2 linked regions of the Rattus norvegicus genome follow. The protein of the gene in region 2 purifies or fractionates together with the protein of the main gene of each other region. This does not show direct contact. Links are inferred from orthologs where the notes say so. Each region holds a gene or a part of one and is shown on either strand. Other genes may lie near its edges.

The links. Proteins that work in one complex are often made in the same cells at the same time.
Region 1: the proteins of Derl2 (region 2) and Serpina1 purify together in Homo sapiens (affinity purification with western blotting; 3 studies listed by BioGRID). This does not show direct contact. The link is inferred for Rattus norvegicus from reciprocal best matches to the Homo sapiens genes DERL2 and SERPINA1.

The regions. Positions count from the first base shown.
Region 1 is NC_086024.1:128,650,326-128,654,520, forward strand, and holds the start of Serpina1 (alpha-1-antiproteinase precursor), read right to left. Parts: upstream 2,801-4,195; 5' UTR 2,712-2,800; intron 1,272-2,711; 5' UTR 1,112-1,271; intron 1-1,111.
Region 2 is NC_086028.1:56,235,194-56,239,460, forward strand, and holds the start of Derl2 (derlin-2), read right to left. Parts: upstream 2,801-4,267; 5' UTR 2,780-2,800; coding exon 2,687-2,779; intron 1,908-2,686; coding exon 1,842-1,907; intron 1-1,841.

The DNA of each region.
Region 1 (4,195 bases), on a different chromosome or scaffold from region 2:
GGCACTGGACTTAGAGCTCGTGTAGTTGCTTCCTGGTGTGAGAACTTAGGATAATACGCTCATCTTCTGGCAGCTTCTACCAGGAACGTCCCAGAGATGTTCAGCATGGCCTGGGAGTCAGCTTGGCTTGGCTTTTGAAAATCAGTGTGTTAGTCCTCTTCTTGTGGAGAGACCTTGGAGAATGCAGTATTTTATGTCTAAAGTCATGTTTTAGATGCAATGTTAAAGGCAATGCTTAGAAGCTTTGCTTCCCTGTTAAGCATTTGGGTCATTGACCACTTGGAGCAGGACACCTGGGGCAGGACACCTGGGACAGGACACCTGGGACAGGACACCTGGGGCAGGACATCTGGGACAGGACACCTTGGACAGGACACCTGGGGGAAGACACCTGGGGCAGGATATCTTGGACAGGACACCTAGGGCAGGACTCCTGGGGCAGGACATTAATGATATTTTGACTCGTGTCTTTGAGGATTGCAACCCCCCCCACACTCTTAAGATAGTTCTGAAACAGAATCCTGATGTGCTTCTCTAAACCATGAGCCCAGATTATGATGGTTGTCATTGACTGTCAGTTTGATGAGTTCTAGAATCATCTAGTAGTTGAAGCTCTGAGCATGTTTGTGAGGCGTTTCTAAACTGGCTTAATATAGGGGGAAAGACCCATCCTGACTGCTGGCTGCACCAGTCTGTGTGCTGAGGTTCTGGACCTTTACTGTCATGTTGTAAGCCAAAATGAACCCTTTTGGCCTTCGGCTGCCTTTTTCAGCTTTCGGTTACAGGAATGAAAAAAGGCGCCAGGGGAGTAGAGTATAATCCCAGCATTGCCATGAATGCACGAAACAGCAAAGACACAGTTTGCCCATCTTGCTGTACTTGGGGGTGGGGTCCCTAAGAGCCCTGGGATAACAAAGTCTTAATCCCTATAGATTGACAGTCTCCACACATTGCTGTGACTTTTCCCTCTTTTGCTAACCTTGGCATCAGTAAGGCTCTCAGTTTAAGGGCAGCCTGTCCTCTTCAGCGTTTGTCAGCTGTCAGTGCAGGAAGTGGAACTCTCACCTAGGACTTGCCTGACACTTTTCCCCATGGCTGCCAAGAACACTACCTTGGCAATTCAGTTTCCAGGAATGTTTGCCATCTGTTTCCTCTTGTGCCATGGGTGAGCACCACCCTGCAACAGGTTGCCGGGAGACATGGCTGACATCACAGCATTGGTGGTATGGATATCTGGCTTCCAGACTCCCCAAGAAGGAGATGTTTGCCTGCTGAGGAGAGCAGTAGCAGTCATTTCAGTCTCTTCAGTAAGTGATCTCTGAATTTGTAATCTCTGAGATGAGCAATAACACACACACACACACACACATACACACACACAGATGCACTGCACATACAGAGACACACACACAGACATAGGCACAGACACACAGACACACACACACACACACACACACACAGAGAAACAGGCATAGGAGCAGACAGACAGACACAGAAACACACAGACATACACAGACACAGGCACAGGCACAGACACACAGACACAAACTCTATCTCTATCTCTCTCTCATTCCCCATACACACACATGCACAGACATACACACACAAACACACACACATACACACACACACAGATGCACATGCACACACACAGACACACACAGACACAGACATGGGCACAGGCACAGACACAGACACAGACACAGACACAGACACAGATACAGAGATAGACACAGACCCAGGCACAGACAGACAGACACAGGCACAGGCACACAGAGAGACAGACACAGACACAGGCACAGACAGACACAGGCACAGGCACACAGACACAGACACAGGCACAAGCACAGACATAGACACACAGACACAGACATACACAGATATGCAGACACAGGCACAGGCACAGGCACAGGCACAAGTGCAGACACACAGACACATAGACAGTCTCTCTCTCTCTCTCTCTCCCTCTCTCTCTCTCTCTCTCTCCCTCTCTCTCTCTCCTTCTCCCTCTCTCTCACTCACATACACACACATACACAGACACACAGAGATACAGACATACACACACACAGAGGTACATAGACACAGGTACACACATACACACAGACAGACACAGGCTCAGACACACACACACATACATGCACACAGATGCACACAATACATGCACACACATACAAATACACACAAACACACATACACACACCCCCCCACACACACACACTCCATGCTCATGAAATAAGCATTTGGAACTTAAATAATCTGTAAATCATGCCTACTCTGCCTCTGAGGCTGGGGAAAATGGCCAGCACCTCAGTAGGGGCAAAAGGGACATGCGTAATGAAGGGAAAGAACAGTGATAAGACGATAAACTCCTAATGTCTGATTCAGATGTCAACAAGCCTAGCAACTGGCAACCACCAACAAAGAAATGCCTGGTTCTTGGAGCCAACCAGCCTTGGACTTGTCATCCTCGTAGGCCAAGGAACACATGTAGGCCAAGTTGAGCAATGTTCACAGGAAAAGGTCACTTTAAATGACTGTCTGGTTTGTCCACTGCAGAGATGATAAACTGACCTCTTCAAAGAAACTATCGACATTCATACCAGGGCACCAGCATCTCTCTGATGGTACTCTGGAAGCTAGATGTCAGTCTGGGTAGAACTTCTAGAAGAAAGAATGGCTGAGGGGTGTAGGAGACATGTTACACTTACCAGTGTCTGGTTTCCCGTTCTTTGGGGGCTCATGGGAAGCATTACTTCCTAGCCAGGCTGGTGGTGCGTCTATATTTTGTCTGGAGCCATTCAGAAGAGACACTCTCTGCCTCGTCTGGACTGAAGAGCTGGGGGCCCTGAATAAATCTCTGGCCTTTTTTACCTCACAATGCTCCACTTGGGCGGTCTTGTGCTGTGTTATGAAAGGAGCAAATACCTCATCCATGATGTCTGGCAGGACAGGTGTCTCTCAGGTGTCCTATCCCACTGCCAGTTTGCATGAGACGTTTTATGATGAAGCCCCTAGAAGCATGGGGCTGTGACTGAATAGAACGTAATTAACCAGGATAAAGGCAGAAAGATATTGACATTTTGCTGAAACCTGAAACCTTGTGCTAGAGCTACAGAATATCCCTGATCCTAAATATACCATTTAGCTAAAATAAAACACCTCTTATTTGCCTAATTAAGGTTTTAATTTTGCTGGGTTTTTAGCACATCAACATTAGGAATTAACCAAGCTTAATTTGGGCTTGGTTGTGCTCTTGTGGTAAAAGGAGAAAGGTGCCTGTTCGTTGAGTCTGATGACGGGTCCTTGGGTAAAAATGGAAGCATGACCACAGAAGTGCCCGTCTGTAGGGAAGTTCTGGGAACATCAGAGGGGGAGGGGCAGGGGCTAGAAAGGGCTACTTGTGTGACTATGGAAATTATAGGCGACCGGAGTTGAGGAAGGAGCTGTGTTGTAACAGTGAGCAGTAGAGAAGTCCTCAGGGAGAGTAAGCAAATAACACACGTGTTAAGGTCTGCCAAGGGGGAAATTGAGGAAAAGCTGAGGTAGAATGTCTGGAAGTGTGTGAGAAAACAAGTCCAGGCAGGATGGTTAGGGAAATGATTCCTGAGGGAGTGAGCCAAGGTTCACCATGGAAGGGAAAACATGCCAGGCAGAGGGGTGACATCATAAAGGCCCTTAGGCAGGGAAGGGCTCTCCTAGGAACTACAGGGAGATTCTTGTAACTAGGAAAAAAAAACATTCGGGAAAATATTAGGAGATTTTGATGGATAGAATAAAGTCAAAATACCACTACTTACTGTGGATCACGAGTGTTGTATGGACTCCTTAGACTTAAAAGAAAACCTAAAAAGAACACAGTCTTATGCACTGGTGAGGTGGCAGAGTGTGACAAGCTTACCTCGGAGCTGATGTCATGCCTGCACCCCAACGCCACCGCCAAGGCCATCCTTAGTGATGGCAGACCCTGAATTCAGGGAGATTTTACCTTCTGCCCACAGTGGGCATCTGATGGGTACTGAGAATTGAGTGCAGGCCTGTGAGATTTTAGAAGAAACACACAGACTCGGGTCACTCATGTTTTAAGGAAATGAATGGCAAAGATCTCACTGGGTTCACAGACTATGTAACCCAACCACTGAGTAGAAGCACAAGCTACCCCCTATGGTGGACAGGAAGGCCAGGATGTTCCTTC
Region 2 (4,267 bases):
TCCAGGCAGGAAGACCACAGAATTGTTAAGGTCAAGAGTTGTCCAGGCTACATAACAGACCCTGTCTTTAAAAAAGAAAAAAAGCACAGTGATGGACTCCAAGGAGGCTGAGGCAGGAGGATACCATGAGGGTCATGCCAGCCACAACTACAAGATAAACTATCTCAAAAAATAGACAAAACAAACACACACACACACACACACACACACACACACACACACACACACACACACACAAACCAAAAACAAAACAAAACAAAACAAAACCCAAAAACCAAAAAACAAACCAAAAAAACGAAGAACCTCGGCCATTAAGCCAAACAAACCAGAAGGAAGCAATCTTAGCAAAGGTCACAGACATCTCGACTTGGCAAAGTCAAGGTATCAGAGGACTGACTGCTTCATACACCCTTAAGCCCTTGGTCACTGGTAATTTACTTGTGATAATTAATACTGACAGATCTAGTCACTCAAGACAAACTCTGGGTTTGTCTGTGAGGGAGTTTCTAGATTCAGTCACCCAAGGTGGGAAGGACATTAATGAGCACCATTCCACAGTCTAGGGTCCTAGGACAACTAAGTAGGGGAAAGTGAATTGAGCACCCGTACTCCTCCGCAAGGGGACCAACTGCCTGAAGCTCTGGATGTCACAATTTCCCAACCACAATGGACTTTACCAACAAACTGTTAGCCAAAACAAACTCTTTCTTTCTTAGGTTGCTTTGTCAGGAATTCTGTCACAGCGGAGTGAAAAGGAGCCAGCACTCTATTCACATGCAAACAACTCAGAGTTTATAGCACTCTCACGCTAGTGAGGGCACTGTACAGGGAAGAAGCTGTCTCTGAGGGTAGATAAAAGCAGAGGTTTGGAAGGCAAGCTGGAGTTCTCTGGGTTCAAAGGCAGTGTGACACATCTGGGACAGGGAAAAGCATCAATAAGGACCATTGAGGTCTTGCCTCCATATCACCTAGAGTGTGAATGACCATCCTGCCATGGAAACACACTTCTCTTCAGCATTTTAATCACTGGAAAAAGACTTCCTCAAACTGTAAAACATACTTCTCTTTAGCATTTTAATCAATGGAAAACGACTTCTTCAAACTGTAATATAGAAAGTCAACATTCTGTTTTAGATAATGGTATAAAATTCGATAGTATAATCTGACTTCTAGAAGACAGACCAGTGATAAAAAACTGAGTTCATGAGCTGGACCTTGAGGAATAACAACAGTGTTAGGTGTGTCTGGGTGGTAAATGGACAAAATAAGGCTATCCTGTCAGACTCTCTCGGCAGCTAGCTCGATAGTCTATTCTCAAATCACATTATTATTACTGCTGTTGTTATTGTTGTTTGTGTGTTGAGACAATTCCTTGATATGTAGTTCAAGGTGGGCTCAGGTTCCTGACTACTGAGATCATAGCCACATTAGTTCTTAACTAGTTGTAGTCAAATATAGAATCTCAACACATCAAAAACACACTAAACAGAGGATAAATTCGAAATTCCCACCCTTAGCATTCTTCTTAACACAGTGCTTCATAGCCCAAGCCTATCTAGCACTTGCCATCCTCCTGCTTACTCTGCCTGTCCCTGGCTCCGCCTCTGGCAATTCTAATTTGGTATAGGATGAGTTTACAAATACCTAGCAGCTCTTAAATGACTCTGGAGTCCAACCAGGTTGTGGAATTCCCTTTTTACATCTCAACAAGACTTGTAATCAGAGATTCCCCCACTGGGTTATTTTTTGAGACTGTATTTGACAGGATTTACTACTTAGTAAACAATGGGAAAAAAAAAGATAGTGAAAATATTATATCATAGTTGCTATAGACCACTTACTTGAAAGTGCTTAAAAATTAATTCAGGATTGAAGTATAACTGAAAAGGTGTGATCAATTCCAACTGCTGAAATGGAAAAAAGAACTTCTTGAAGCAGATCAATCGCAAAACAAAATTCCAACATGAACAACAAAGAATGAGTAGCTCTAATAATTTCTGTCCCTTGGAATAAATTTCTGTCTTGCTTGTGACAGCTGGTAAGAGATTCTTTAGAATTTGCACAACCGTTTTGTATCAACACACGATGTAAGTTTTATGTTGCAATATTTGAGGATGCTACAAGGCAGGCGAGTGGGAATATTTTAGAGACAAGACAACAGCATCTTTTACAAATCTGTGCGTCACGTGGTCACCACCTCAAACAGCTGGGTGAGACAACTCGGGAATAAGAGATTTAAGACCCTGCTACCATTAGGACTAGGTACATGCGGCCAGTTATTTATATCCACAGGCCGTCTTTTGAAAGATGTTTCCAGACAATTCGAGATTTCTATATTCAATATAATAGTCTGTGAACCTAGCGGACCTAACTCCCACTAGTCACCTGGACATAGCTAGACCTCTCAGATACATTTTTGGGTGGGCGGCTCCCGCAGTTCTGATTCACTACAGGTCTGGACTTCATCTGTCTGAAACTGACCTGGCCCCTCAAGAAGGAGCACACCCTTCTCAGGTCACTGGCTTGGCACCCTTGGGAATATCCCAAACCCTAGAGTCAGCTCCGGATGTCTCCACCCACCCCTGGGACCAGACCCACTGGGCTTCTCTGCGGCCCAAACCCGTTTTCTGAAGACGCAGTCATAGCTAGCCTGGAAAAAAGAGGATGTGGCGCCACAGCTGCTCACCACGGCCGCAGTGGTGAGGACGCAGGCGGTAGTGTAGGCGCGGCTGACCGGCGGGATCTGCAGGTACTCCAGCCGGAGACTCTGGTACGCCATCTTTCCCACCGCGCCTGCCCCCCCTTCCCCTTCCGCCAGTATGCCAGGCGGCGGGGCGGACTCAAAACTGGCCTCCAGCCTACCTACTACTGTCCAATCAGCGCTGTGTACTCGGACACCCACCAATCGCTGGCGCCTTGGGGCCGCTCACCCACCAATCAAGAGTTGCGCCTCTGCGTCGGCCCATCCTTACTTCTCCGCCTACCAACGCAGAGAGAAAGTACCAGCTCCTTCCGCCAATCCCTGCCGGCCACAGCTAGCTTTCCCTCCTTGTCTCCTTCCTTTTGCCAATCGCAGTGCCCCTTTCGACCCACGGCTAGCCAATCAGGAGTGCGATCCATCCCGCCTTTGCGTTCGTTCGCAGAGGCAGGTCGCAGTTGATTCTGAGGAGCCGGTGTCGCCGCCTTATTCCAAGCAGCTCAGTGTAGTTTGAAGGAAGTGGCGGGAAGCCGGTGTGTGGCGGACTACATCACCCCCGGGATCGCTTCGGTAGGGGCTGTATGCTAGCTGAGGAGGGACGGAAAGGGCGGGACCGGAGGAGTGGCCTCGGGGCAGCGGAGTGTTCTTTAGGGAATTCCTCCGGTCCGGCCTGGCTGGGCACGGAGACCTAGAGTTCCCGGCATGCCCCGCGGCTGTGAGGTGGAACGGGAGCTGGAACTGCCGGAAGCGCTCCGGGTTCTGCGGTTTCTGGGCCTTGTCTGTGGCGGTGGTAGGCTCTGAAGTCCCCTACGTTCGTCGAGACGGTGTGGGAACTTTCCATGTTTATTTACAGCCGCAGGAATTCAAATCTAGCAGAGAAGAGGCGGTAGATGAATTAATAGCACTTGGGGGGGGGGAGCGAAGGAGGGTGTGGCTGCTTCTTCAGGGATGTGTATTCGAGCTGGCTCTTGAATCTGCCTCTAATGCATTGTGTTGGAGCAAAGGCTATCTTGATCGTGGCAGACATATTCAGTAAGTTATAAAGAAGCATTAAAATCGAGGGACTGTGACTGTCAAGACTGGTAAGAACCAAGTAAAAAGTGGGAGAGAATAACATTTAGAAGTAAGACTATAAGGCTGAACGTAGTGGCACCGGCCTGTGTCTCATAGCCACTCTGAAGGCTGAAGCCAGAGGATTTGTTGCATCCTGAAGTTCTAGGCCAGTGTGGACAACGTAGAGGAGAGTGGGAGCAAACACGGGAGAGGTCTTAGCAAATTCTTGTTAAAACTTCATCTTTATAACTATTGCCTCATCATAGCATTGGTAGTGTCTAACAGAGAAAAGCAGAATTTTTCTCAGAACTGGAAGTTTGGATGTAGGAGTTTGGTTATATATCATGGTGCATCAATCCAGGAATGTTGAGAACTTTGAGGGAGAGTTAGAGTGCACACTTAAGAGAATTACTGGGGGGCTGGGGATTTAGCTCAGTGGTAGAGCGCTTACCTAGGAAGCGCAAGGCCCTGGGTTCGGTCCCCAGCTCCGAAAAAAAGAACCAAAAAAAAAAAAGA